3 linked regions of the Caenorhabditis elegans genome follow. The protein of the gene in region 3 interacts with the protein of the main gene of each other region in a pairwise test. Each region holds a gene or a part of one and is shown on either strand. Other genes may lie near its edges.

Region 1 (6,515 bases), on a different chromosome or scaffold from region 3:
TCAGATTTCATTTTTCATAATTTTGGAAGTTCACCGAAAAATAATATTGGATTATTTTAATCACGTTTAAATTTATTTTACTTAAACATTGTATAGGTTGAAAGCACTGTTCCGAATTTCTCAAATAGTCCAGTTCTTGTTTGTGTTGAAAATTTGGCAATTTACCAAGAAGTTAATTGAATTTTTTTTAAAGTTTAACAATTTTCTGTAAACTTCAATTTTTATATTTGGTCATTTTAGACTGATGGGGGATAAACATGAATATCTATATGACTTTTTGGCCGATTTTCGAGATTTTCCTAAACTTACACTTGGGTTATACTTTCATCCATTTTTCACGCATATTTACACACTTATTGAATAAATCTATGTAAAAATATCTAACAATATCCAGAACATGCTAGTGAAACTATTTACTCTCAATTAAAAAAACAAAAACTAACCAAACTAGGTGGTTCTTCACAATGTTTATCAGTCCATTTACCATTGACATGCCTTCGAACATTGTGTCGTTTTGCTGTCGTGCCTATCACTACTCCAAGAATTAAAATGAAAGCTGTACGGAAGCAAATCATGTCGCAATCGACAGAAGAATCAAATAAAAGATATAGGCGAGAAATGACTGTGTCTCTCTGTGTGACCCTTTACCCGATGATGACCTAGTGACATCCACATAAAGTGAAAATTTGGGAGGAGTCGAGGATTCATAAAAATTGAAAGTTTTAGGAAAAGTTCATATTCAGAGTACTTTGTATTATTTTGGATTGTTTTATTTTTAATGGAATCGGGTTGATATAGAATGTTTCAAAATCATCCATTCGATTTTAAAATGAAATTTTGAACTTGATCCTTCTATCTATTTAGTTTCCCCTGCCATTAAACAATAAAAAATAGTTTAATAAAAAATAATTTATAAGGAAAAGATATGCTGATATAACTTTTTTATTTGATACTGATGAGATTCTTTGACTGGAGATTTTCAATTGATTTTGCAATGAGAAGCGCGTTGTCCTTCTGATACCCTCCACTGGTTACCATGCAAATTGGAATTCCTTTTGATTTTGCTAGATTGAACACAACTTCGTCTCGAGCAATTATGCACTGAAAATTTGATTTTCAAAAAAATATGCAACATCTTATTTCAAAATAGACTATACACCAAATACCAAACTCGTATAACAATATTCCTTGCTTTCACACACCTGTGGACTCAATTTCATTGCTCCCAGAGGATCACCAAGTAGACAGTCTGTGCCAGCGTTGAACATAATGAAATCGAAACCAGGAGGAGTAGTTTTCTCTCTATCAATTAAACACTGTGCCAGTTGTTTGCGTAATTCGCTAAATAAAGTCGGTCAGTGAAAGCAGAAAGCCGCTATGAATACTTACGAGAGGTAGGAAGTATCAGTCGTATGACCATTTACATGAACCGCTCTGTTAATAAATTGACGAGCTTCACGATCATGTGGATAGACATATGGATTGAAAACATCAAATACAAACACATTCGGATTGTCAGCAAAGTCTCGTGCATGGCCATTTCCCTTAAAGTATGATTCAAGCAAAAAATTGGATTCTTAAATTTTAATAATTTTTTTAAACAATTAATATTGTGATTAATATTTCGAATTAATATCTAATATTTGAGAAATATCTTTACGGGCTAGACATATTTCATTCACGTTCCAAATGGTTTTCCAAAATGATACCGTAGTCTATAGAATTCTTAACGTAACTGTAAGGTAGCTAAAATTTGAGGACAATTCTAACTTTGAAAGCTCAGATATCGGCCATCTATGATTTTAGGCAAAATACTTCCTTCATGTGATGTCAGACTGTCTCATTGCGGTTTGATCTACAAAACATGCGGGACTTTTTCCCAGAAAAATTGTGACGTCAGCACGTTCTTAACCATTCCAAATCAAATGAGATGTCTGCGTCTCAACTCCCGCATTTTTCGAAGATCAAAGCGGAATGGGATTTTCTGACTACACGTGTTCCTTTGAGTTATATGCTGTCAAAGTTGAGCAGTGAAGGTGCCGCACGCATCAATAGAAAATATACGGTATTTTATATTCTTTCAAATGTTTTTTCCAGTACCTGATGAGCATCTAAATCTACAACAATCGCGTTGGCAATTGCCTTTTTGTCAAACAAATCGAAAATTGCCATGGTGATATCAGCGTAAAAACAGAATCCACCTCCGCCCGAATCTGAAATTATAGGCTGCTGTACAATCCCATAGCGTCTATTTTTCTTGCGGAATAACAAAAACATACGAGAAGCATGATGGAAACCACCACCCACGTTGATCGCCCAACCATGTTTTAGAGCCAAATTGGCAGCTAAAACTGTTCCACCGGCTTGTAAACTGGAAAACACAAATAAATGAATACAACAATTACTAGGAATGATACCGTAGTGGATGCAATAACTTGCTTTCAATAATGCACGGTGGAAGGCAACCGACAAATGGAATCTCGACGATTTGTGCTGCTTTAATAGGATTTCGAACACTTTTCAGATATCTAAAATAATATGAATAAATTTTTTTTATTAGTTGAAATTGTTGAACGCCTCATCTAACTTTTTTTTAGAATGTCAACTATAAACGTTATGAGCTTAATTATTTTCTTTCAATTTAAGTATGGGGCCATACAAACATGATTTTTTCATAAACCAATTCCACGATTCAATCACATTCACAACACTTTCATGTGCCTACTTTCTATCATGTACTCTAGTGAGTTCTTCAAATGTCGGTAGATTTGGCTCAACGAGTGTTTCATCAGTGATCAGATTCATTTCTTTCAAATGTGTAATGACTCTTCTCCATTTCGAAGAATCAAATGGATGTAAATGTTCGATTCCAAATGCAGTTACATTATATTCAGAATGATAGACAATTGGACGTTGATAACTTTTTAAACTAAAGATTTCATCTTTATCTCTGAAATTATTGATATTTTTGGCATTTCCAACTGCATGTTGTACTACAGATTAAATTTCAAAACTCACCGCTCTGCCATTCAAAATCTGCGTAGAATGAGTGGTTAGAGCGGATAAATAAAGAAGTAGTCGTAAAGATTCTGTTTTTCTTGTTTTTGTTATCAGAAAACAGATAACGAATTCTGAAAATAGTGGAAACTGCCAAAAGATGCCAATTGTGGCGAGAGAGCCTGTGGGATGTAGAGTAGGATGAGAAAGGATGGCCTAACTTTTTTATCGGCCATCCGCCGTGTACTTCACCAGGACAAGATGTTTCGTCTTTCAGAAACTCAAATCATCACCAAAGTTTGCAGTTTTTCGAAACAATTAACGGTGGGAAGACGCCGAATTAATTTTATCCGTTTTAAACATTCTTTTTGCTTTTCAAAACATTTTTCTCCTCTTTCTCAAGCTATAATTACTTCTGAATTGGATATTTTAGGAGTGAATCGCTGAACAGCGGATTCGAAGTCTTCAAAAATGGATGAATTACCGGTTAGCATTTTCAAAATTCTTAATGTGCATTCTAATCTTATTTTAGGTACTAAACAGTCTATGCAAAGATCTATATGAGAGTGTCGATCCGCAAGCCCGACACCGAGCCGAGAGTAACCTTGCGGAACTGTCAGAGTCACCCGAATGCCTTCAAAGATGCATGCTTCTCTTTGCACGAGGAGATGTAAGTCGAAATAATAAAAGTGTTAAACAATTTACATAATGATTTTCAGTACCCATACGGACCAATGGTAGCAAGCACCACACTAATGAAACTTCTCGGCGGAAAAACTAGCATCACTTCTGTTCAGAAGCTCGAGCTTGCAAAATATTTATTGGAAATGCTAGGTCAAGGTGCACCTCAATTTCCTCCATATCTCGTCACATCACTTTGCCAACTTTTTGCAAGACTCACGAAACAAGAATGGACGTATCAAAATCCCACAGAAAATCAAACAGAAGACACAAAAATTGAATATCCATTTCGTGATCCGGTTGATAGCCTTGTCAAAACAATCAACATGGATAATATCGAGGAAAGTATGCTGGCCGTGCAACTGTTAACCTTACTCGTTGCTGACATGAATTCAGCTTCGGGAATGGATTCAGTTAACAAACATCGCAAGAATCTTTCGCAGTTCAGGGACGATTTTTTATATGAGATTTTCTCGGTATCTCTGAATGTTTTGAACGATAATGTGGACAGAAATCTGAACGATCGCCAATTGGGTCTTCTTCACGCGGTTCTCAACTTGAATCTCCAATGTCTACTTTTTGATTATATAGGAAGTTTGACAGACGAAACAAGTGAAGACAACTGTAATGTGCAAATCCCAACAGCATGGAGAGCAAGTTTTACTGATGGAAAAATTGTACAGCTTATGTTCAAACTTTTAAATGTGCTTCCACAAGAATCAAGTGAAAAAGTGATGACAATAATAGCTCAATTGGCAAGTATTCGAAGAACGCTTTTCAATGGAACAGAGCGACAGGCTTACGTTCAAAAACTTGTTGAAGGAGTTGTCAGTGTAATTATGAACCCTGGGAAGCTTAGTGACCAGGTAAGAATAATGAAAAATTAAAGGCAAACATATTTATATACCTGATTTAGGCCGCATTCCACGAGTTTTGCCGTTTGATTGCTCGTCTGAAAACAAATTATCAGCTGTGCGAGCTCATCGCTGTTCCCTGCTACAGTCACATGCTAAGGTTACTCGCGGAATTCACTGTACAAAGCCTACGAATGATGGAGTTCTCAGCCAACAGTACATATTTTCTTATGACATTCTGGCAGAGAATGGTGACGTCTGTTCCATATGTTCGAAATAATGATGAGCATCTTCTCAACGTTTATTGTCCAGAAATCATGACAGCATTCGTCGAGAGTCGATTACAACACGTTGAGAGCATTGTCAGAGAAGGAGCTGAGAATCCATTAGATGATCAAGGAGCAACCCTTCAAGTTATGGAACATCTTGCGATTATATGTAGATGCGAATATGAAAACACATGTAAACTTCTCACTCAACACTTTGATCAAAATGCCAACATCTGGATGAATGGATCTGAAAATGTAAGACACTTAGTTGTTTTTTTTTGAAACTTATAATTTGTATTTACAGGATGCCAATACAGCGATTGCCGAAGGTCGTCTCGTTTGGTTGATTACATTGATCGGAACTGCTGTGTTCGGAAAGACGACAGCAACAAGCAGTGATGTTCACGATAAAATGGACGGAGAACTCATTGCCCGATGTATAACAGTTATGAGATTCAATGATAATCGGCTTCAGTTGTCAAATAATACAGTTCCACTGAAAGGAAATCTTCGACTGGAAGTTTCATTTATTCACATGCTTGAGCAATTCCGTCGTGCGTATATCATGGATCAAATCACTCGAGCCAGTGCAGTCTACGACACACTTGAAGCAGAACTGCGTATTACGGAAGAGTCTGACATGCTAGGTGTTATTGTACAAAAGATTCTCACAAATCTGAAATTCTGGCCGTCCAACTCTGATCTCTTGGATCTTTCCCTATCTTTGTTCAAGGATTTATCGCTTGGATATTCTGCAGTTCGAAAGTTATTCCGTTTACCAGAAGTTCAGCTTCTATTGAACAATCACACTGCCGATCATTTCATGTTTCTTGGTCCAAATATTGATTATCAAACAATGAAACAGCGAACGACGTTTTACGAAGCACTAACGCGTCTTTTAACAACGGATTATTCGGACGACGAGGAAATGCTTCAAAGATTCCTTCGTCCTCTTACAGGTAGATTCAATTCCAATTGATTTTCAAATGTACTTTTTTCAGATACAGTTGAAGGAATTTGCACTGTGATCCAGAATAATTGCCAAGGAGTTGAAGAAGAACAATTAAAGGTTATAAAAATGAACGTTTTCAAAACTAAAACAAACTTTTTACAGAAAATTATTACTGGACTGTGTCGAGATCTTCGAGGAGTGGCAATAGCATCAACAACGAAAACTATCTTCCAAATTCTATTCGAATGGATGTATGTTTTTCCTATAAATATTTATTATTTTTCAATTATTTTTCTTTCCAGGTACCCAGAAGTGTTCAATATTATGCAGTTCTCGGTAGAAAAATGGCCTGGATGTGCTGATGTCGTTACTCCAATTCTTCGACTTCTCTCCGAAATGGTTCAAAATCGACAGCAACGATTGAAATTCGAAATGAGTTCGTGCTCAGCTGTACTTCTTTTCAAAGAAACTTCAAAAATTGTTTCGATTTACGGAGAAAGGCTTCTTCAACTGCCAGAAGTATCGAAAGACAGAGTATACAAGGAAAGATACAAGAATATTGGAGTGATTTTTTTGATTCTCAAGAATGCGCTTATTGGAGCTTATGTACCTTTTGGAGTATTCCGACTCTATGGTGATTCCTGTCTTCAGGATGCGCTTACGACGTTTGTGAAGTTGTTCACAAGTATTCCCCAAGATGATTTCCACGTCAGTTCATATTACGACCTATGCTAAAATTAAATAATGCGTTCTTTCAGAGCT
Region 2 (9,785 bases), on a different chromosome or scaffold from region 3:
TTGCAGTTACAAGCCGTTGAGCGCACTAAGCTCGGAACAAAAAAATAGTTTTATTTTCTCAAACGTTAAATTACAGAAGTTCTCAAATGGGTGCAAGACTGACAGAGAATATGATTTATTTTTAATTTTTTTCAATTTTTAGAAGTAGTCAATAGAAGAGCAATATGAGAAAATTTTGGGATTGATCAGCAACTGAAGTATATGGAGCAGCACAGAAGCACAGTTGCATCACTGCTCTGGCCGTTGCCCTGAACCACAAAAACGGCGAGAAGGGAAAATACACTCAAAACCTCTGTAGTTTGACGGTTATTATTGGAGAGATATATGTACCTGTTTTTCTTTTCCTAATTGTATACTTATTTTTAACATGATTTTAACTCAGGTTTTGATTTTAAGTCAGGTTTCTAAACAGAATATATTTTCAATCGTTTCTCTAGAAATCAAATTGTATGATTCACCAACTCTTTTATTTACATGTCACCGGGAAAATTGACAACTGCCGCCGCAGTTGCTTCAACCTCAACATTTTGTGTGATAACATTGAAAACATCTTTTCGTCATTGTCTGATTTTTCTTCACCGAACTCCTCGTGTTTCTTTTTTTCCTAACCCAATCTCATCTTTCAGAAAATGTTTCGTTTCCTACTGTCTTTCTTGACTCTCTTCATGGTTTTGCTCGTTGGGATCTCTCTGTCCGCACCAATTCCAAATATTGATAACGCTGAAGATTTTCGCTACCCACAAGACCCAGAGGATTTCAGTAATTTCAAAATAATTGCATACAAAATCAAAAACTCCTATTTTCAGATAATATGCCAATGGCCACAGCACGTCCATCTGTCAACCCATGCAACTAAACATTTTCGATTTCTTTTTTGTATGTAAGAATAAATTTTTTTTATAATTAGTAAGTTGGACTTTATTAAACAGAATTGATCATATCGAAAAATGTTGCATAATAAAAAATCAAAACAAGATCAATAAAACGATAAGTGATTCAAAATGTGCAAGAATTGTATAATACAAAAGAAAGCTGTGAAAATTGAGGATCGAAAGTTGAAAAAAAGAAAAGTTTCAGGACACCCATTTAAACTCGTCAAATATCTTCACCAAGTCAGCAATGTCCCGCCTTTGAAATGCTGTTGCTTTGACTTTTCTGGAAAATTAAATATTAGATTATTACGTGGTGTCAGGCTGTTTCATTGCGGTTTTATCTACAAAAATGCGGGAATTTCTCTTCCAGAAAAATGTAACGTCAGCACACGTATAGCCATGCGAAATCAGCTGAAAAATCTCCGTCTCTTCTCTCGCATTTCCCGAAGAAACCAAAATGCGACACTTTGACACCAATTAAACTATTTTTATCTTGCTATTCGTGTGTTTTTTACTTTTTTAACCAAAATAAAAGTGGTCTACATGTTTGAACATATATACTTAAAATGCACTCAAATAAACAAATTTCGTACGAAAAATTCTCTAATTTGGGAGATTTTTCCGTGACGCAACGGTCACAAATTTGACTTTTTTGAGCTTTTGTTTTTTAATTGCATGTTTTGGTAGATAATCTCAAGATAGTTAACCAAAAATCACCAAAAAATGGCCTTCCATCGGGTTTGAATATACGTTATTCAACGAAAAAACGTTGGATAAACGACCGATAAATGCAATAAAAAAATGATAATTCGAAAAAAAAAATACAAAAAAATTTTCTATGATGAGTAAACAATACATCCCTTCTTCCGCATTTATCAGTTATCACTCTTCACAAAATGCAACTCACCCTTTAACTATGCAATTAAGGCAGAATGGATTTTGCTTATTGTCAAGTGTGATCATATTGAACAGAACTTCCCGGCATTTTTGGATAGAGCATCGCTCAACAGGGATGATCGATTTCTCGTTTTTTGCTGATCTGATGAGCATATTTTCCTGAATGGCGAAATCGAACTCAAACTGGCTTTTTGCCAAACTTCTGTAATTTTGAATTAATTAGTTATCTAGTATTATGATTCTGTGACGAAACCGTACTTTAGCATTATAGCCTTTCGAGCCAGGAAAATATTCTCATCCTCTGCCTCCACTCCATCTTCAGCCATTTTCCAGACAATTGGCTCAATAGGCATGAGAGTAGTTGCTTTACTCGAGATGTTGTGATCGTGAATGACCATTGCAGCAGCCAGTTGATTAAAAGTTGGTTGTGCAACATTCCAGGAGACGTTTATTGCAAAATCATTAGATTGCACCCAATGAAATGTTCCAATACCGACGTACACCATGTCTCCAGGCTTTTGTAGAAACTTTTGCGATGGTATCTTTTCATTTCTTAATTCCTGCTCACTTGGCCAGTACCCGCTTTTATAAACATTAAGTCGATGCTTTTTGATCAGCACCTCCATTCTGCCACTGTACTCCATGGGCACTCCGTACCAAACACAATCACCTGGTCCATGATTAATGTTAATGGACCCGAGAGCTTGGTTCTCCAGGTGAGCTGTGGTTCTTGCTCCGGGAGGCTTGCAATAAACTTGAGGTTTGTTCAGACCTGCAAGTGACTCTTGAGCAAAGTTGAGAAGATTCCCGGCTCCGTCGGGTCTCAAACAATCAGGCAATTTTTTGATCTCCTGAAAATAATGATTATTTATCTACCGTTAACTTTAAACGACATACATCGAGCTGTTCCTTGAATCGCTGATCATCCAGATCAATATTAGTTCCAAATGCCAACACTGTCGCATTTTCATGGACTGTAAGTTTGTGTTCAGGACTGAGTGGGATCGTATTTTCCTTGATTTGCTTCTTCATGTCATCCATTACTTCCGAAAATGCGGAAGGATTGCGTAGGATAGCTTGGTAAGCTGAAAAATGAAAGGTGAACAAATTTAATGATTTTTATAAACTTTGGAAGTTCTCTAGTTTTTATTAAAACTTATCAAAAAAGTTCCCAAGTGGGTTGATTAAGAGTCAAAAATTGGCGAGAACTCAGTTCTGATTACCCATAATTTAAAGGTCGACAATGAAGTAAGTGCTTTTTTTTATACGAATTTCAAAATCTAAATATTTTTCAAATATTTTCATTGGGATGCCATTGAGGTTCAAATGGTTGCGACGTTGCTTTATTTTGCTCAAAACTCCTGGAAATCTTTTGAAAAGTTTTCGCTAATTTGGTTTTCAAAGCTGACTGGAATTTTAGACCAATCTTTAAAAATTTTGAAATTGGGTTTTATAAGATACTTATTTTCTTATAAAACTCAAATATCTTTCGCTAAATAAGAATTAAAAAAAAACAGTTCAAAAACGTACCTGACCTTCCTATATCCTTAAGGCTTTCATAATTCTTCGCAAAATCTCTCAACTGAGTAACTCCTTCAAAATCGAAGACAGCCCAGGCATTTCCCAATCTCTGCACGGTATTTTTGTCATTCATGTAGAAATTGGTTGCTGATGACTGGGGCATCTGTCGACGAATTTTCAATGGGTAATCGGGGTAGAGAGGTGCCAATGTGGAGATGTCAAACGTTTGGCGATCCATCCCAAATGCTTCTTCGATTCCTCGAAAGATGCACATGGTTGTGGTATTGACGATATTTTTAATAAAATTTGATGTTTCATCGCTGTTGTTCTCAATATTATAGATAGGAACAGGTAACCTGTATTGATCTTTATTTGTGTATTCTTCACTTGTGTTTTCTTCAATCTTTCCATCAGTGTTGAATTTTGTTGTTTCATCAAATAGTTCAGAACAGCCAGATGTTTCGTATACGAGATTTTTGCCAGATTTGATCCATTTGCTTGCTTTCGTAATAACTTGTTTTCCTTTTGATTTTGAGACGTCCATAAAAGTCGCTCCGGTTAGAAACAGTTTCGGGAGTTTATATAATGAAGGCAGATCACTGGGAAGGTTGGATATTGGTGGAATGGCTAGCGATCGGAGTTTGTTTGTCACCAAGCCCAGATTCTCGTTGTCTCTGACAACATGAACCGAAACATCCGTCGAGCACGAGGGCTCCTGCAAATATTTTAAAGTTTTGTTAAAAGCATATACATAATTTGTAATTTGCTTTGACAACGTCCTACAACGTCCTGTCTTAGACAAAAAATTTTGACCTGAAAGTTTGAGTTTTTCGCTGAAAACAATTATCAATTATGCGAGCTCAAAATGTCTGCTATAAAATAGTACGTTCAACTTTTTTCCGATCGCACCGATCGCATTTTATACATAGTTTTAAAAAACTCCCTATTAAGTTCTGTGTTAAAATTTGAACTTTTCAAATTGGTCTTTGTTTTATGTTTACAATGCATATGTAAAAATTTATGATATCAACGAGCATACTTGGTAGTGTGTATAATAGTTTAATTCATTTATTTATTTTTCTAACATTTAGAAAATTATTAAAAAGTTATTAAATTGTTCCTATCTTTAATGCGATTCCAAAAGAATTAGGAAATTTCTGGAAAAAAAATAATTTTTTGATTATAACTTAAGTTTGACATAGCGTTTGACATTTAAACGTTATATTTTAAAATTGAGCCACATTTCGTTTATATTGAAATTTCATGTTCATTATCAGTAGGGTCAGTAGGTTTACAACACTATTAAAGTGCTATTTCTTTTTTTTTTTAATATTAATTGAAACAACATACCGAAAAGTGTTCCAACTGTGCATCGATGGTTTTTTTCGCTTCTTCCGACTCTAGAATCGTACCAGCTGCGTCTCGTCGAGCAAACTGAAGAAATGCGTTCGCGTTCCAGTCACTACTAACTTGATGTATTTGAAATTGATTCAACTTATTAGATGGTCTTCCTCTCGCCGATTTTCTTTTCTTACTCTTTGTTTCAATTAGTGTTTCTGGCTTTCTTTTCCTTGAAGGTCCAACTAAAAATTCTCCCTGTTCATGAGACTCTGATTTTCTCAATTTTGAGTTGTTCCCACTAATTGGTGGATAACTGTTGCCATGCTGATCCACTTGATCTCTTCCGTCAATTTCAATTCTTTCACGAAAGTCAGCATCATTGCTCTGTGTTGGCAAAATCTGTTCATTAGTTGAACCAGAATCATTTGTGCTGACAATCAAAGAATCTGTTCCGCTTTCTTCTTGAATTTTTGCAGTTTGTTCAATTGTTGTGCAGTCGTCTGAAAATGAAAACGATTAATTCAAAAAACATTTTGTTTAGAAAAAAATTAGCCCAATATTTAAAATCTCTGCAAACACGCAACACAGTTTTATAATTTTCAGTTCCCATCCGAAAAAGTTACTAAAAAAGTTGCATGAAGAAAATGTTTGAATGAGCACATTTTTCAAAGAAATCTTAAGCTTACTGGTAATAAAATTTGCTGCTGGAACTTGATTGTCTGGATCGATGAATTGCTCTGTCTCATCCGAGCAGTCTTCAGCAATTTCATAATTTCCTGATGATATTGTTGTTCCTGAAGGTTCAGTTGACGACTCTCCCAGTTTATGAGACTCGGATTCTAACAGTTTTGAATTGTTTCCGTTAAATGGTTGATCATTATCGAAGCACTGATCCACTCGATTTCTTTCATCAATCTCGGTTTTATCTTGAAGCTCGCCATGATTACTTTGTGTTGAATAAACTTGTTCATTAATTGGTTCAGAATCATTTGTGCTGACAATTGGAGAATCTACTAGCTTTTGAGGAAATTTAAAGAAATGCCGCATGTTGCGACCCCTACAATATTTTAATAAAAATAATTTAAACAAAATTAGAACATAAAAAATGTCGAAAAAATTGTTTTTTTGGTCGACTTCGAAAATTATGAGTGGCAAAAACTGAGTAATTGCCACTTTTTGACAGTAAATAATAAATTTTCAAAAATTTTTGAAAAGTTTTATCATGATATTTGGTCATTTTGTGACCAAACGAGTGGTTTTTAACAATTTCTCCACTGGCAGTACTCCACCTTTAAATGTATATAAAGAATAATATAATGCTTCGCTTGAAAAAAAAACTAGTCATATGAAAATCAATTTCAAATATAGATTTTTTACATTGAAAAAAAGGATTTTTTTAATTTCTCGATATGAAAATTCCGTCTCCTGTCAGTTTACAAACCTTTTTTATTGTATGATCGTGTTATTAACACAAAATTAAAATGTTCACCTGTGAAAAAATCTGGCTTCAATGTTGTCGGAACTGGATATTGTGCATCAACGAGTTGTTCTGTTTTTTCGAATTGGTCTTGTGAACCTGAACCTTGGCCACCGCTATCCATCTTTTGAAAAAATCCTGAAAAAATTATTGCTCGTGATCAAAATATTCAAAATTAATATTGCTAGTGGAAAAAAGTGTGAACTCAAATTTTAAAGAGGATTTTTCTTCTATTAATCCTCGAAATTAACAAAAAACACACACACACTAAAAACTGTACATCTATCAATAATTGCAAAAATTGCATGCATTTCCTAATAAAAATCTAAAATAATCCCAAAACTGCAATACAATAAAATTTAAAGACTTGGATATAAATCTCACTTTTTGTAATTTTAACAATGCATACCCTATTATTCTAAAACAACTAAAGTTAAGTTCTGAATATTTCATTTCATGTTAAAATTAATTGAATGAATTAGTTTTGTCTAAAATTGATGAAAAACTATATGTTAATTTTGAAAAACAAACTAAAAAACATCGAGAAGTGGTGCAAAACGTATGTTGGAGCCAATCCTCGCAAAAAGGTCGAGAACAGGCAGAGAAGACTGCGCAGAACAAGTTACATCATCACTCAATCTGCCCCGTTTCCCATATTTTTGTAGGAGACTGTCGGGTCACATATGACGCAAGATGTGCCTTCCCACGTTATGGAGTGCTCAAAGAGAACAGGTGTCGTGGGGGGGGGGGGGGGGGGGTGTCTGCTCGATTGTAACAAAATAGCCGGGAGGTCTAATTTTTGATAAAACATAACAGAAGGTGGCCACCAAATTATTTATAGGAATGTGCTTGTATGCTTAATTTTTTCAAACTAGCATGTTTCATTGAACATATCACTGGCAAAGTTTGCGTCGAAAAAATTTTCCAATTTCAAACGGTTACTTATATATTATTACTTATATTTTATATACCAGAATTCAAAATACAACACAAACCAACTACATATATTCGGTCACCGGAAATCGTATACTTATTAACTAAAATGAATTTGAAAGTTCTGCTGCGCTTTGTTGATTAATCTGCTTTTCCTTGAGAGATTATCTTTTCATCTTTTTCTCGTCACTAGGAGAGTGCAGACAAACTATGAGTAGCTAGGAAACTTGTCCCAACTTAACACGTAACAAGAGTACCGAACAGCAACGGATTAGAGGAGCACGTTTTGAAGGTCTTACATACAGTGCCGGCCATAATTCTATCCAATTTTCGATTTTTGATAAATTTACAAGTTTTTCAAACGAGCACAACTTAAAAACTGGACATGCTATCGAAAAAAATTCAACTCAAGAAATTTTGTCCATAATTACGTCTACTTGTATTCAGTTGTTTAAGTTGTTTACCAGTGTCATGACAAGAAATACAGCGGCCGACATCTCGTGAGCCCGTTTTTGACAACTTTTACTGATTTGCCGGTATCTCGAAAACTTTTTTTTCTGTAAGTGTTGGCAAAGTAAAATAATCTTCATATTACTTGCCATCATGTGTGTCTTCTCACGTTGTTCTGAAAAATTCAGCAAAAAAGTTATGATAGATTAAACTTGAATAGTGTACGACTACAACTAGAGCATTTCTCGCAAGTGAAGAATTTTTTTTCCCTGAATTTTGATATCGTGTTTAAATAAAGTTTAATTGTGATTTTACATTTGTAATTATTAAAAAATGCTCGAAAAAAATATATTCGAAGTAAGTAACCTGATTTTTGGTTGTACAGCATGAGCAGTGCCAAGTGAGGGACTAGTTTGCACTTCCATAACTTTTTTGCTGAATTTTTCAAAACAAAGTGAGTAGGCACAAATGATGGCAAGTAGTATGAAGATTATTTTTCTTCAAAAACATTTCCAGAAAAAAATTAGTTTTCGAGATACGGCCGAATCAGTAAAAGTTGTCAAAAACGGGCTCACGAGATGTCGGCCGCTGTATTTCTTGTCATGACACTGGTAAGCAACTTAAACAGTTAAATACAAGTAGACGTAATTATGGACAATATTTTATTAGTTGAACTTTTTTTGATAATTTATAGGATATCTAAAAATGGGAAAAGCGAAAGTGAGGAATACGAAAAAAAAACAGATGGAAGAGGAAAGAAATACATGGATTTATTACTGAGGCTTAACATTTGACCTTATAATTAGAAACAAAAAATTATCAAAAGTTATTCAAGTTCAGAAAATTTTAATCATCATTCAAGCCCAACAGTCTTTCGCCATTTGGGAATCCCCAGATTTGAAGAGACGAAACTCGGCTAACTTCATCAATGATGCACTTGAACACTTCGTCGCTGTTGTTCTTTCCAGCAACTGCCAGAGTATCCATTTTGATTTTCAAATGATTCACAAGGTTGATGATATCAAGAATCACAGCGTCGGGCTGCTTATCAAAGGTGAGTTCCATCGAGATCATCTTGAACGTCTTTGAAAAGTATTTAATCAAATACTTCACTGTTTCGACTCGAGTTCCATAGGTGTTTTTGGCGCAGCATGATGGGAAAATGGGGTCAATTTTCAATAAATTCATTGGCAGTCTCGTTGAGCTCCTAGTTCTATACACCCTCTTTGGAGGCATATCATCCAGTTTTATGTTCACAATCTCGTTGGTTGCTTCTCCGTCATATCCGATTTTGATGATGAACGTTTCTCCGAGATTGACAGTCAATTGAACAAGATGTCGACGCGAGTGCTCCAATACCCATCTCTTTGCTTTTTGAGATAGTAACGCCAGTTTCACGCTAAAAATGAACCGTATTTGAATTGAATTTAAGCTTGCGAAGGCAGGACATATTGAGAGAGCGACCTGGGTAGCTTGCTCCCAAGTCGCTTTCAGATTTATGGTGAAGTGCGATATGCGATTTAATTTAAAAACTTGGTTGTATTCTCTATATTGAGAGTTTTCAATCAAATTAATGTACTAGTTGTTCAGAGTTCAAGATAAACTTCTAGGAAATCAAACAAACAACTACTTAAAATGTTATATTATTATTGTAAAAATACGATCGCACAAACTTCTCATAATGTATATTTGATCTACCTGCTGAACTTGACCCCGCCCCCAATCTTGTTGCCGTTGTTATTTTGTTGTGGCTGTCTTGTCAAAGGAAGGGAATGAGCCTAGTCAACAAGGTAGATCAAAAATAAATTATGAGAACATTGTGCGATCGTATTTGTTCGATAATAAACACTTACAGCTCGAACATTGGCAATTGTTTCACAATATCACCGAGTGGCAATGAAGGCAACTCTTCAAGCAGAAACGGTTTCTCGGTTTTCTTCGATGCAACTTTTGTCAAACCCTTCTTCATTCTGAAAATAAATAGGTAAATTATGACATTAGAAGACAGTTAGTGAGAAATTAAAGAAAATGGTAGTTAATACAAGGCAACATTACATACAGAGTTCAAAAAATAACATTTAGTTGAGTATGTTATAAAGGAAAATAGAGAAACGTTAAAATTGGTGAAAGGCAGTGAAAGTTGGTGAGATTTGAAAATGAAGACTTAAAAAATTTTTAAAAATTGGTTTTTGGTTTGAATTTACTTCTTTTAATTTTTTGGGATTTCACTTATAAAGCTGAAGTAACGAAGTGAGAAAAGTGAAGGAAATAGTTAAAATTACCCATTTTCTGCT
Region 3 (5,971 bases):
CAGCGGCTCCGTCAGAAATTCCAGACGCATTTCCTGCATTCACTAGTCCGTCTTTTTGGAAAACAGGCTTCAGCTTGGCAAGGCTTTCTGCGGTGGTGGCTCTCGGATGCTCGTCGATTTCGAAGCTTTCTTCTCCCTTGCGCCCCTTGATAGTGATTCCAACGATTTCATTCTTGTAGACACCAGCCTCCTGAGCCTTCTTCCACAGGGTCTGAGATCTCAGAGCGAATTCGTCGGCTTCTTGTCTGGTAACTTTGTATTGTGCGCCCAACTTCTCTGCAGTCTGTCCCATGGCTAACTTGGCATACGGATCGCTGAGAGAATCCCAGAGCATATCTTCGAATTCGTACTTCTTTCCAAGTGCAGTTCCGAAACGAATATCTCGAACAGCGAATGGCACCATTGACATGTTTTCGGTTCCTCCGGCAAGAACAATGTTGGACTCGCCGAGCTTGATAGCTTGAGCTGCATTCACGACTGCTTGGAATCCCGAACCACAGAGACGGTTGACAGTGAGGGCCCCGACGTTTTGTGGAACTCCAGATTTGAGTCCAATGTGACGACTCAGGTAAATTCCATCACGAGAGCTGGCAACCACGTTTCCTGAAATTAGAGGTTTTCTTTAAATCATTCTAAAAATAAAATCTTTCTACCAAAGATGACATGATCGACGGCATCTGCTCCAACATTAGCGTGCTTCAGCGCTGCTTGAGAAGCGACGACTCCCAAATCAGTTGCACTCAATCCTTTCAGCTTTCCACCAAAAGTTCCGAATGCTGTACGCTTGGCACCGACGATGAACACACCTGCAGACATAATATAAACATCACTGATCACTTATTAGTACAACGACCATGGACTTTGACCCCCACTCACATTTTCCTGCCATTTTGCAGTGTATTTGTGTGGTTCTGTAAATAAAAACGTTCTTATAAGTAGTAACAAATTATTAGGAAGAGGTGAAAAAACCTAAAAAAAAGGGCATTTAGAAAACTGCATAATTATTTTGAGAGGGGCTTTTGAACAAAAATAAAGTTTTTCGGTTGTTTGTTGGGCCGATAAGATAGGTAGAGAAGAGACGCAGAGACGAAAAAGAAGCAGAATGGCCGACTTTCGCGGTGTCTTTTTTATCATCATTCCCGCTACTTGTTCTCTGACCTAAAGGCTACATTCTACACTACAATAAGATACAAAATTGGGCCTGGAAACCACAAGGCAATATAATACAATTAATTTTCATCAATTTTATTAAACCAATCACAAAACAACGAGTGAAATACTAGCCAAGCAACGGGTGTAATTAAAAAACAAGTAGAGCAGATACAAAATGGTCTGCTTTAGACGGCGGATTTCTCGGCGACTGGAGCATCGGACGAGTGCAATGAAAGCTTGGCTTTCACAACCGAGCTGGTCTTCTTCTGGCAGCTCTCATGATCTTCGTAGCGGATCACATCGAACAGTGGCTTTGAGTGGTCCTTGGATGCGGCCATCAGCTTCTCCTTCAGCACAACTCTGAAATTCCAAAATTCAAGATAGAATTAAAAATAGACATGCATACCCAATCCTCATGTTGGTTTCATCATCGTTGCAATCCTTAGTCCAGACGCTGATCTTCGATCCTTTTCCTCTGACGTTGCACACCAACCCACAAATCGACTCCATGTCCTTTCCGAATTGCTCGCCGACCAAAGCCATGAGAATCTCCAGCCAAATAGCATCGACCATTTCGGGAGTCTTTCCCTTGTCAATGACGATGAGCCAGCGTCCTCCGTTCGAGTTTTCCGGAACCTCCCACATCGGCTGAATATCGTCACGGAAAACGTTGTAATCGCACAACGCGTTGAGGCCACTTGGTGGACGGATAGCATCGTAGAGAGCCCAGAACTCCGAGACGGTGTTGAAGGTGTACACCTTCTTCAGACGATCCTCCCAAGACTTGTTGCGCTCATCGTTCAAATACCACCACGTCCAGTTACGCTTCAGCGGATAAATGGGTGCCGTCGTTTGCTCCGTTTCAGTCATACCTGGAAGAACTCGATTAGTAAAATCAGTAAACAGAGAGAATAAATGAATGCAAATAAAAATGGGCACGTGGAACCAAAAAAGTGATGCAAAACGGCGAGAAACAGTTTTTTTGTGAATAATTTATAGTACTCAAACGATAATGAAAAAGGGAATGGCTCACCTTCTTTCTCCCCAGAGATTTTCAGCTTCTCAAATGCTATTTCAGAATCTGACATTTGCGCTTAAAATTTTCGCACCTCGACAACTGGCAAGGCAAAAACAGGACTGATCTGAGAAGCCGAGAACAACTGGGGAAAACGCCAACTAATCGTGCCCTAAATGACGTGCCATTGAAATATGGAGCGGGTCAGTAAAAAAATTCACGGGGAAAATAGGAAATGGTGGAATATAGTACAACAATTTTAAAAAGAGATTTAGAAATTATCGATGATGAATCAAGGTAAATACACAAATGAAGAAATAAAATGAGAACCCGTAGAAAAAAAAAGCGAAGAAAAACAATCTAGTTGTCGTAGTCATCGTCGGTTGGAGCCAAAGAGCCCTCTGATGGTCCTCCAAACATTTGTGCGTTTGCGGCTGCTACCGCCGCGGCTTGTGCTTGTTGGTGAGCAAGCTGCTGCTCAATTTCTTGTTGGCGTGCCTGTAAAATAAATATTAACATTGAGGAAATGAGTGTTTGTTTTATAAAAACAAAATTATTTTTGAAAACCTCAAAAAATTACCTTCTGAATTAATTCTTGTTGCATTTCGTACAATTTTTCCTCTGGAATACCACATTTTTCAAGACGAGAGTTCTTCCTTCGCAGCTTCTTCTCGGCTTCAACCTTGCAGGCATCGAGAACACTGTCGGCGGCCTCGAGATAATCTGGTGTGAATCCTAAATTCTGCAGTGCCTTCTGAACATGTTCGTGATATATTGTTTTTCTCTGATCCTGGCTCGCAATTCGTTGTGCTTCTCTCGCAATATGCTTCACGAACTCAACGCAGCAAGCATTGATCATATCTCTCGACTCGTTGGCGATTCGCATTTCAGGAACAACTTCTTTGATAATTTGGTTGATACCTTTCTGTGGAAGTCCGATTTCATTGTCCTCATCCATATCTGTGAAGAGTCTGAAAATTGTGTTGAAGCACTGCATTTTTAAGGGATCTAAAAGAGATATAAGGAATGAGAAATACATTATTAAAAGTTTAAAGATGAAATAAAATTAATATCAAACTGAGTACATTTATGCGAATATAAATATAATATTTTCGGAACAAATCTCACAAAATTCACAGAATTATCCAATTTTAGCATTGCTGAAGTCCATTTCAGGATGCTGTTTCATGAACTGTTGCAGCATATCATGCTTTTTCTTCTCATCAGACGTTGGAAGACCCATCTCCTTCTGCCTCTGATCATACATCATCTTTTCGACCATGGCACGTGTCTCTCCATCCAAGTCGCTCAATTTCGAGTTCTCTGGCTTCACTTCCTTAGTATTGATTGGAGGATCGGAATCAAGGAATCGATTCCACCATTCCATATCATTGATCTTCTCGAGAGTTAGGACAATCGCTTTCCCGTTTTCGATTACCCAGTTGCAATTTTCTACTTTAATGGCGTGAGGCAACTTTCCATCGACAATCGGAGCTTGATTCTTCAGGCCGACAGATACTGAAGTCTTCTCTATTTTGACGACAACGTCACGAGATTTGATAGCAAATCCAGCAGCAATTGGAATCTTCACCTCGAGTTCTTGGAGTGTTTGAGTCCATTGATATTTGGCAAGATCCGCACCATTTCCACTATTTGGTTTCATGAGCTTACTGTCCTCATCTTCGACTTCAGCGTCTTTCGATGTTTCTCCTTCGTTATCGACGAATTTTTCAAGATTTTCAACAGAATTTTTAGCCTGTTCCTTTTCAAACGCGGCCGCTTCCTCATCAGTGACTTCCACGACTTTCGCATTTCGGAACTCTTCCTCTTCCTTAGCTTTTTGTGCAGCTCTTCGTTCAGCAAGCTTCCTCTCCTGCTCTTCCTTCCGTTTCTTGGCTTCTTCAGCTTCCTTCATAGCCTTTCCACCGTGTTTATCGAATTTTTCGAGGAGAAGGGTCCGGGCTTGATCGACACCAGCGCCACTGTAGAAATCCGTCTTTCTGAAACAAAACATGTATTTATTAAGCACTTTGAAAAAATTTCTTACCTCGAAAGAAATTCAAATAGTACATCAAGCATTTCAGGCACTCCGCCGCTCAGCTGTTGGGCCATGGAGAGCAGCACCGAGTCGAATCGCTCATATTGAGACATTTTCTGAAATTTAAATATATTAATTAATAAAAACTACTTCCAAAACGAAGAAAAACATTAGGAAATCCGGAATTATTGAAAATAGAGCCTAAAATCAAGAAACATAGTTATTTCGCAATAATTACAGGACAAATTCTACTTAATCTAGTTAAAAACTTATTTTACAAACTAGAAAACCATTTATTTTGACAAATATCACTAGAAAAATTGAGTTATTTCGAAATTTCTGGTAAATCCTATTTTCGCCATGTTCCCATGGATACTGCAAGTGCCTGGGGAAAGCAGGTGGCTCATAATGCTCAATTATATTTCTGGGACAATGAGAATAGTTGAAAAATCAAAGAAAATCTGTGCGAAATCCCGCAAAATCGATAAATTAGGAGAGAAAATGTGTAAAATTGAAAATAAATTGCGAGCGCCGTTTTTTCTAGGCGCCTTGGCGCGGCGACTGGCGCAACTCTCGTGCTGACGCGAAACTCGATGCTACAGTAGTTTGATTTGAAATTTAAAAATTCAAATTTGAATTCAAAGTAATTTTCAGAAAAAAAAAGCAATAAGTTACCTAGTGCATTACTATTTCTCCCGTTAAAGAGAAAAACGGGTCTAATTGAAGAACAGATGGTGCTAATCAAAGAGAAAAATGCACACGCTTAGAAATTGGATTTTTCGAGACCTTTTCCATTTTGAAACTTTCTATTGATAATAAATCCAACTTAAATATTGATTAAGTTCACTTTTCCATTTACAAATTATTCCAAAAAAGACAGAAAAGCCATTACGTATGCTTAATTGCTTTTTTCTAATTAGACGTTCGACACTTCAGTACACGCTAGCATGGCTAATTAGATTGGAAACGAGGTCACCTCTCGTTTTTGTTTGTATGTCTGCGTTCATATTAGACTACGCATCGCGTTGAGAATCTAGTTAGAACACTATTTGTGTCTCCCTTTTTACGCGGCCTTTTTTTCTTTCTTGCAAAAAAATACGCATTTTATTTATGTTTAGTAGTTAACATAATTAAAATAGATGTTGACACACTTTTTTTAATAATAATTTAATAATAATTATTATTATTTTAAATACAGATAGAGTTTCAAATCAATTCACTAAATTTACCCTGTTTTATTGAAAAAAAAGCGGTGCGGCAGTGAGAGAGTATGTGGCGAAGAGACGGAGAGAAAGAGCATTCACTGCGAGACCTTGCGCGTCAAGTATGGCGAATTTCTCCATTTTCAAAACGTCTATGTAATATTAGTTTATAGGAACATTTAATGTAATAGAATATTGAAAAACAGAAGAAAGAAAACACCAGTAAACCGTTTTCGATAGACTATTTAAAAAGCTGATTGCATAGTTTCTCATTAATTTATTAGCTTCTTTTTTAAATTTAGTATGTACTGAAACTTGATTTTCTCGAAAAATCTAGATTATGTCAGAACCGGACCAGGGGGAGAGAATTTCCCCAACAGATGGTACACCCACTCAACGTGATTTCAACGAAACCAATGACTCTTACCCCTGCGGGACACATTCTCCTTTTCTTTCCGCGCAAATTTCCACATGGTCCGGTTGTAGTTGAAAATTGTAATATCTGAAAAAATTGAATACACTTTTTCGATATTCAATGATAATGTTCGTTTAGTTTATGTTTAA

Evidence for each region. The genes of interacting proteins can lie anywhere in the genome.
Region 1: the proteins of dro-1 (region 3) and hda-11 interact in a two-hybrid assay, tested with the Caenorhabditis elegans proteins (one large-scale study listed by BioGRID).
Region 2: the proteins of dro-1 (region 3) and jmjd-3.2 interact in a two-hybrid assay, tested with the Caenorhabditis elegans proteins (one large-scale study listed by BioGRID).

Annotation. Positions count from the first base shown.
Region 1 is NC_003283.11:10,522,824-10,529,338, reverse strand, and holds hda-11 (Histone deacetylase 11), read right to left. Parts: upstream 3,156-6,515; 5' UTR 3,030-3,155; coding exon 3,019-3,029; intron 2,951-3,018; coding exon 2,726-2,950; intron 2,529-2,725; coding exon 2,418-2,528; intron 2,372-2,417; coding exon 2,280-2,371; intron 2,214-2,279; coding exon 2,101-2,213; intron 1,545-2,100; coding exon 1,390-1,544; intron 1,342-1,389; coding exon 1,203-1,341; intron 1,102-1,202; coding exon 943-1,101; 3' UTR 895-942; downstream 1-894. Other genes in the region: F25D1.3 (Interleukin-17), read right to left, coding at 444-575; xpo-7 (Exportin-7), read left to right, coding at 3,469-3,483, 3,530-3,667, 3,717-4,544, 4,595-5,056, 5,106-5,760, 5,803-5,870, 5,916-6,004, 6,056-6,461 and 1 more.
Region 2 is NC_003284.9:14,444,677-14,454,461, reverse strand, and holds jmjd-3.2 (JmjC domain-containing protein), read right to left. Parts: upstream 6,253-9,785; 5' UTR 6,233-6,252; coding exon 6,121-6,232; intron 5,558-6,120; coding exon 5,318-5,557; intron 5,132-5,317; coding exon 4,641-5,131; intron 4,006-4,640; coding exon 3,300-4,005; intron 2,855-3,299; coding exon 2,667-2,854; intron 2,621-2,666; coding exon 2,028-2,620; intron 1,972-2,027; coding exon 1,780-1,971; intron 1,156-1,779; coding exon 1,074-1,155; 3' UTR 895-1,073; downstream 1-894. Other genes in the region: F23D12.7 (Neuropeptide-Like Protein), read left to right, coding at 630-759, 807-856; F23D12.4 (F-box domain-containing protein), read right to left, coding at 8,338-8,890, 9,345-9,460.
Region 3 is NC_003281.10:13,339,877-13,345,847, reverse strand, and holds dro-1 (Protein Dr1), read right to left. Parts: upstream 3,165-5,971; coding exon 2,748-3,164; intron 2,666-2,747; coding exon 2,528-2,665; 3' UTR 2,241-2,527; coding exon of another isoform or gene 2,186-2,240; 3' UTR 2,136-2,185; downstream 1-2,135. Other genes in the region: acaa-2 (3-ketoacyl-CoA thiolase, mitochondrial), read right to left, coding at 1-603, 654-806, 877-889; ife-1 (eIF-4F 25 kDa subunit), read right to left, coding at 1,338-1,512, 1,559-2,024, 2,186-2,240; nud-1 (Nuclear migration protein nudC), read right to left, coding at 3,309-4,167, 4,215-4,318.